Linked DNA regions of Oryzias latipes. The protein of the gene in region 1 interacts with the protein of each later gene in a biochemical or structural test. Links are inferred from orthologs where the notes say so. Each region holds a gene or a part of one and is shown on either strand. Other genes may lie near its edges.

Evidence for each region. The genes of interacting proteins can lie anywhere in the genome.
Region 2: the proteins of pink1 (region 1) and bag2 form a complex in vitro, tested with the Homo sapiens proteins (2 studies listed by BioGRID). The link is inferred for Oryzias latipes from reciprocal best matches to the Homo sapiens genes PINK1 and BAG2.

The regions. Positions count from the first base shown.
Region 1 is NC_019865.2:23,696,162-23,699,077, forward strand, and holds the end of pink1 (serine/threonine-protein kinase PINK1, mitochondrial), read left to right. Parts: coding exon 1-96; intron 97-191; coding exon 192-319; intron 320-980; coding exon 981-1,211; intron 1,212-1,338; coding exon 1,339-1,623; 3' UTR 1,624-2,327; downstream 2,328-2,916. UniProt on the Homo sapiens protein: Serine/threonine-protein kinase which acts as a sensor of mitochondrial damage and protects against mitochondrial dysfunction during cellular stress.
Region 2 is NC_019873.2:24,430,423-24,434,855, forward strand, and holds bag2 (BAG family molecular chaperone regulator 2), read left to right. Parts: upstream 1-1,495; 5' UTR 1,496-1,649; coding exon 1,650-1,771; intron 1,772-1,913; coding exon 1,914-2,023; intron 2,024-3,204; coding exon 3,205-3,599; 3' UTR 3,600-4,193; downstream 4,194-4,433. Other genes in the region: E3 SUMO-protein ligase ZNF451, read left to right, coding at 235-275. UniProt on the Homo sapiens protein: Co-chaperone for HSP70 and HSC70 chaperone proteins. Acts as a nucleotide-exchange factor (NEF) promoting the release of ADP from the HSP70 and HSC70 proteins thereby triggering client/substrate protein release.

The sequences.
Region 1 (2,916 bases):
TGCTGCAGCTCCTGGAGGGTGTGGACCATCTGTGCAAGCAGGGCGTTGCTCACAGGGATCTCAAATCAGACAACGTGCTGCTGGAGTTTGACTCGGGTGAGCTCTAGAACCAGACTTTGATTGGAAAAACACCTTATTTAACATCAGCTGCTCCACGGATTTGTCTTATTTTTGTTTGTTTTTATGCACAGATGGTTGCCCCCGTTTAGTGATCACAGACTTCGGCTGCTGTCTGGCTGAAAGTGAGCAGAGTTTGCAGCTGCCCTTCAACAGCCAGTGGGTGGACAGAGGGGGGAATGCCTCTCTTATGGCCCCTGAGGTATAAATACTTTATTTTTGTTTTAAATAATCTTCATATGGTGGTTTTTATAAAGAAGACTAAAGGACTGGCTTACATATGAGCATGTCTTAATTGTCATGGATCCCAATGACTGAGTGATCATGACTTCTGTTTTTATTCAAATGCCAAGTGTTTACGACCACCTGATCATCAAAACAGAAGTGGTTTATTAAGAAAATGTCTCTGTCATAATCATAAAAACATGCATTATCCATGCGAAACACCATGACTTCCTGTTTGAAGCAGGTCCAAAAACAAAAGTATCTGCTGCCAGATCAGGTTATCAAGTGACCACTTCCTGGCTTGTTGTAATATGTCCATTTCCATTGATTTCAATGTAAGATGCCCCAACCAATGATTGACGTTAGTAAAACGTAATACATTTATTATAAAAATCATAAAATTGTGTATTTTAGCATCAAGTAAAAGAGATAAAGATGGCGTAAAAAAGAAAAAATTGAGTCCCCAACATATTTCCCTGTGGTACTCCATAAAACTAAAATACAAGAGATGTATTAATTGGCTGTGTCACAGTTCACTTAGCTGTTTGATCACTACTTTACTAATTTGGATAGACCGTTTGGTGTAGTGTCTGCAGGCTGCAGGGGCTCATCGTCTCTCTGTGCGTTTCTGGCATTAGGTGGCCTCTGCAGTCCCTGGGCGCAGAGTCGTGATCGACTACAGCAAGGCCGATGCGTGGGCTGTGGGCGCCATTTCCTACGAGATTTTTGGTGAACCAAATCCATTCTACCATGCTGTTGGACTGCATAGCATCAGCTACCAGGAGAAGCAGCTCCCTATCCTGCATTCCAGTGCCCCCGCTGATGTGCAGTTAGTGATTCGATTACTCCTCAGGAGGAGTCCTACAAAGGTAAAGCAAAGTTTTTTTCAAAATGGTTGAATTCATGTAATCATTATTGTTAATAATTACATAAATAGGAGCAGATATAGCGATAATCTAATAAATTCAATGTGTTTGTCTTATCTCTGCCGTGTAGCGCCCCAGTGCTCGTGTAGCAGCAAACATGCTGCACCTCACCCTTTGGGGTCAGAGGATTCTGGATAAACAGGGAAATGCTGGCATGAGAAAGCTGGCTGAGTGGTTACTGTGCCAGTCTGCTGTGGTTCTGCTGAAGGGCTGCAGTGGACCTGCTGGGAACAGGGTGGAGGCGGAGCTTCAGAGGAACTTCCTGAGGAACCTGGAGCTTGAGGAGCTGCGCACAGCGATGGGCTTCCTCATCTACGGACGAAACCAGCACACGGCCCGCATCCCGTCTGCTTAGATGTCTTTAATTTTGCAACCAGAGCTGAGCAGATATCTATGATAGTTTTTCTGCGGTTATATGTTCTCAGACACTTTATTAAAGTTGGGAGGTTGTATATGCTGCTTTTGAAGTTGAATAATCCTGACGTATTAAAGACGCTCCTGATGCTTCTCTGAAACTGCGTTTACACCGGGCATGTGATGCGCGTTCAAGACGCGTTTTTGAAGGCACATTTAGCAGGAAAAAAACTGTTTTCCCCCCACTGTTTACTGACATGTCCACCACCAACAGTTGGAAATGTCAAAGCGGTGCAAATCCATGCTTTATTCCGACATACAAAAGACCTGGTGTCGTATAATTTTGGCTATTTCAGCTCGACCTGGTTTAACTTTCAACACGGGTTTAATGGCCGTGCGTTTTGTATGTAGAGCTCAAAAATTGTCTTTAAAATGTACGTAGCGACACGTGAATGCAAAGGTTTTAAGCGCTAGCCTGAAATGCGCATTTACGCGTGTCTATGTAGACTTTTTATTGGAAGTGCTGCTTGAACGCGCATTGCAGAGGGCGGTGTGAACATGGCTTTAAAGTTTTCATGCACTCTGATACTGTTGCGCCGCTCGAGGTTGACTCGCCTGTGCCCTGGATCCCCTTCAATGTACTTTAAAAAACGTTGCACTATTTTTCTCTGCTGTGTAGTCATAAAGGTTCACATTTATTTATCAGCGTGTGTGTCAGGTTGCAGTCCCTGCATGTCTCCTGCATGTTTAATGATCGATGTGACTTTGTTCCTGTTTGCACTTTTTAACAGAAAAACTAACAAGATTGTCAGTTATTATGGAATCACTCAGTAAATTTCGAAAAATAACTGTTGATAATTTGAGATTAAAGCGGGTTTGTAACTCCCAGGAAGTTATTCTATAAAAAGAATGTATAATTTATCTTCTTTCTCTTTCGGCTTTTCCCATCAGGGGTCGCCACAGCGAATCATCCTTTTCCACCTCACTCTATCATGAACATCTTCTACCCTAACATTAGCCAACTTCATGTCCTCTGTTAAGACATCCATATATCTCCTCTTTGGCCGTCCTCTTGCCCTCCGGCCAGGCAGCTCCATCTCCAACATCCTTCTACCAATATATCCACTATCCCTCCTCTGAACATGTCCAAACCATCTCAGTCTGGCTTCTCTGACTTTGTCGCTAACACAGGCAACATGAGCCGTCCCTCTGATGTACTCGTTCCTTATCCTGTCTAACCTGGTCATTCCTAAGGAGAACCTCAACATCTTCATCTCCGCTACCTCCATCTCAG
Region 2 (4,433 bases), on another chromosome or scaffold:
CCAGTGGTCCCGCCCACAATTCAGCTCTGCAGAAACTATGTCCTAAGAAAAACAACACAGGCTTTTTTTGTATTTTGACTAAAAGCAGCATAAACGGGATTAAAAGATCACTTTGAAAATAGCTTCAAAGATGATCGGAGTGGGTCTTTAAAATGGCCTCTGCTGTTTTTATGTTGTTTTATAATGGAGTGTCATTTTCAACTTTTTTTTTTTTCTTGTTTTTCTTTCCCGCAGAGTTGGAGGAAGCTCTTCAGAGAAGTCTTGTGGAGTTCTAAGTGCTTTCTAAATGAAGTAGTTCCTGTTGTTCACCTGTCACGTTGACCTTTTTTACTCAAGGTCATTGTTTTCAGAAGTTATAAATAAAAGTCATGAATTATTTGAATTGATTTACTTCCTTTAGCAGCCAAAGTCAGCAGTTCTTGGGGCAGACAGTGGGTTTTAAAGCTAGTTAGAAGCTGAGGGTTTATAAAAAGTCAGACGTTCTAAACATTGAAGCTATGTGTCACGTGTTCACACACACACACACACACACACACACAGGATTGTGGTGACACAGCTAGATGCCTGGGCTGACCTCGTGACCGCAGACCAACCGCTCCTCCACCTCTCTGGTTTCACTACAGACGTGAGGATTCTCTTTACCGGCTGCTCAGACGTCAGAAATGAATGAGCAGAAATTGTATTTTTTCTACAGAAAAGTTTGTATGAAACATCATTACATGAGTTCAACTTAAAGAAAAAGGTTTTTTGTGTAAAAGTGTGAGTGAATAACAGGGACAGAACGGTTTTCCTAAAAAGTACTCTCTGTGAAAATATTTTTCTTTAATAAAGATATAATAACGGAGCATGACGTTTGGTCATTGAATGTTACATTTGATTATTTTGTTCGGAGAACAGAAAAAAAAAACAGTTTGGAGACCTGTTGGTTGGTAAAATAGATGGAATCTATCTTTGTGGCTTGAAGCAATAGAGATAATGGTAACAAGCACCTGTCACCTCATCAGCGCCCCCTAAAGGTGGTTTTGTTACATTGTGTCTTTGCTTTTTTCTTTTAACTAAAATGATGAAAAAGTGCCACTTGTACAAATTGATGAGAGTTGCAAATGTCATGTTTAACAAACCTGTATGAACTCTGCAAAAATATTATTCAAATCATGCAGAAAACAGTTATTGGACAATACTATTATTTTATATTTACTTGATGTATTCGTCTTTTAGTTTATTTTTATTTTCTAATCAATTTATGACAATTGTTTTTTTGCCTCCTAATTATATAAAAGTTCCAGAAAAAATAAGCTTTCTCTCCCCCTGTTCCCTTTTATCTCCCAGATATAAAATCTTGTGTAAAATAAAATCTGTTGTTTTATGGAAATTCAAATAAAGCATTTTAAAGCTAAAGCGCTCCTCACTCAGAGCCCCCTGTTGGAGCCCCCTGTCTGGGTTGGAGCCTCCTCTCTGGGTTCCTCGGGAAGTTTCTGTGAGGAGGAGGAAGAGGAGGAAGCTGAAGCCCATGTTAGGAAATGTTGTCCCAGGGGCGCTGCTGCCTGTAGCCTGAGGAATTACTGGTCAGGCGGAGAGCTTAAAGCGCCGCTCACTCTTTGGATTGACTGATCGGACTACAGAAACTCGGCACTGCAGCACTAATTATTATGGCTCAGGCGAAAATCCAGGCGAAGATGAACGAAGCGGTCTGCAGCAAGTTCAGCAGGACACTGTCCATGGCTGATCGCTCCGGAAGACTGCTGGAAACTCTGGATCAGCTGGAAATCAGGTACAATAACGGGCCTCGCCATGCGCGTCTTCTTTGGAGGTGCTCTCGTTCGTTTGACACTGTGGCGTAACTTTAACAACTGAACGTGATTGGAAGGAAAAAGAAAAGCTGTTTTTTTTTGACGGATGTTTGTTTTTGTCAGGGTGGAGGCTTTAAGAGAAACAGCATCCGCCCTGGAGCAGGAAAGAGAAGGCATCCTGGAAATGATTCAATCCATCCAGAACAGTCAAGAAATGCGTAACATCTGTGCGGGTGAGGCTGCTAATTCTCTCCCACAACTTACATAAGAGCACAAGTCATCCGCTGCTTAATACCAGTGAAGAGTGGCTTAACTTTCCAGTAATCTTAATTCCTGTTTTTTGCTACTTTGATCCTGTGGTGATAAAAGGAAAACTTTGCGTGATGGTCAAGAAACTGAAAAGAACAATGTGCTCCACCCAAAATGCATCACATGTCTCACCCATAGAGGTCCCATTTCACCTCTGTGTCTTTCTATTAAACCCTCTAAAAGGAACACACTATACTTCTGAGTCCAACATAGCAAGTTTACTACAAGATATAAACTTTTTTTCATGGTATAAGTAGAAAGAAAAATTCTGTTCTTTTCATGGTACCATATTATATTTACATATTCAACATAAGTCCACACATTTTCATGAATAGAAAGGAACAAAAAAAATGAAATTCTTGTTATATTTCTGCCCCTATATCAAATCTTAAAGACCCACTCAGGAAAATTGTGTTTTTGGTGTTTTTAACATGTTGTTGTGGTGTTTTTCTCAAAATGCAGGACATATAGAAAGAAAATTCAGCTCATATTTCCATTTCGGTGTATTTCTTTATTCAAATTGCAAAAGCAAAAATGCCATTTGAAAAAGCTTGTAGGTTTGACGTAGAAGCTAATACAGCAGACCACAAACGTCCTGCTCTTCTCTGCTCCATTCTGATGCATCCACTTGCGGACAAATAGATCCATGTAGGTCTTTTGTTTTCCTCATCCGAGTTGGCTTCCGGCTCAAAGCTGGACGGATGGATATCTCCATTCTTGCAGGCCATTTGAGTTGCATCAGTAATGTTACGTTGGGGTTATAAAGGGCTGTAAATTTGCAGGAGAGCGTTTAAACACATAGATGTCCGGAAGCAAGGGTGGGCTTACTCCACGCCTACGGCCCCACCTACAACTTAGAGGCAGATTTCTAATGAATTCCTGCCGCTCTGCAGAAATTATGTCCTAGAAAATGACACAGGATTTTTTTATTTGGGCTAAAAATGGTATAACTATAATTACAAAACCACTCGGAACACTTTGGAAATAGATCAAAAGACGATTTATTAACATAAAATACATCAAAATAAATGAAATGAGTCAAAAACAGGTTAATAATAATATTTTTTATGACAAATTAAAGCTCTAATTTCCTTTTCTTCTGCAGGAGAAAGGGAAGAGTTGAGCTTAACTGCGAACCGTCTGATGGGCCGGACTCTGACGGTGGAGATCTCCGTTGGCACCATTAGAAACCCCCAGCAGGAGGAGGCCCTGCGGAAAGCCACATCCATGATTGACGAAATCGTAAAAAAGTTGCTGGTCGACATGGAAGGCGGTCGGCAGCAGCTGATGGCGCTGCACGCCGCCTGCGTGACCGAAGCACCGCCTGTCCCCATCGATCAGAAGTTCCAGGTTGTGGTGATCAGCTGCTCTTTGGAGGACCAGAAGAAGATCAAACAGAGGCTGGAGACGCTGGTGAGGAATGTGGAAAACGCTGAAAAGAACATCAAAATTATGGATCATCAAAAACTGGAGAGTGCAAAAACCAACTGCAGTAGTTAATAATCATCACCAAAGCATGAAGGGTGTTTTTGAATTCCACTTTACCTCACAAAGGAGAGCTGCACAAGCATGACTCTTAGGGATCCATGCATTGTAACCAACCCTGAAAAGTACACTGGTACACATTTTTTTTGTAAAAAGGTCAATTTTTACTTTAAATTTTACTACACCGACATAGCTAAAGGGCACACAGTTCACAATGTATGTTCATCAATAAGCCCAAGAAAGAACAAATACAGATGCATCACAGATTGAAGTTCAACCTTTTGAAGACAATATATAATTTTGAGCACATTTTGCAGCAATTCAGTGCTCTGACATATGAGGTGATTGACAATGCAACAACCAGTATTTTACCAATACTGTGATCGTTAACGTTGAAAATAAAATTACAAACATGTCAAATGAAACCACCTGACAGGAAGTTCGTGGAATTTATCTCAGTTGTAGAAAGACTTTTTATTTGTCTTACAGTTTTAGTTGAAAGGATTTTTGACACAAACTCTGTACGCCTTCATCTTCTGCTGTTTTTTTTTTTGTTACATTTTTATGAAACACAAAGAAAGAAAGTCAATAAAAACTGTGAGAAGCCTCTGAATATGCAGTTTCTTGTTTTCACAAATGGGGAATCCTCCTTTATTTTGTCATTTGGTTTGATAAGAACCTAAAAGCACATGTACAGTTCATAAAATTGCACAAGTCAATGCTTACAATTGGGAGAAAATATTAAAAGTTGTTTCACCATCATGTATGTAGTAGCACAAGGAAAATATGAAACTTAAAAAAAATTGTGATGATGGGACAAAAGCATTCAAAAAGAAAAGAAGGTTCTGT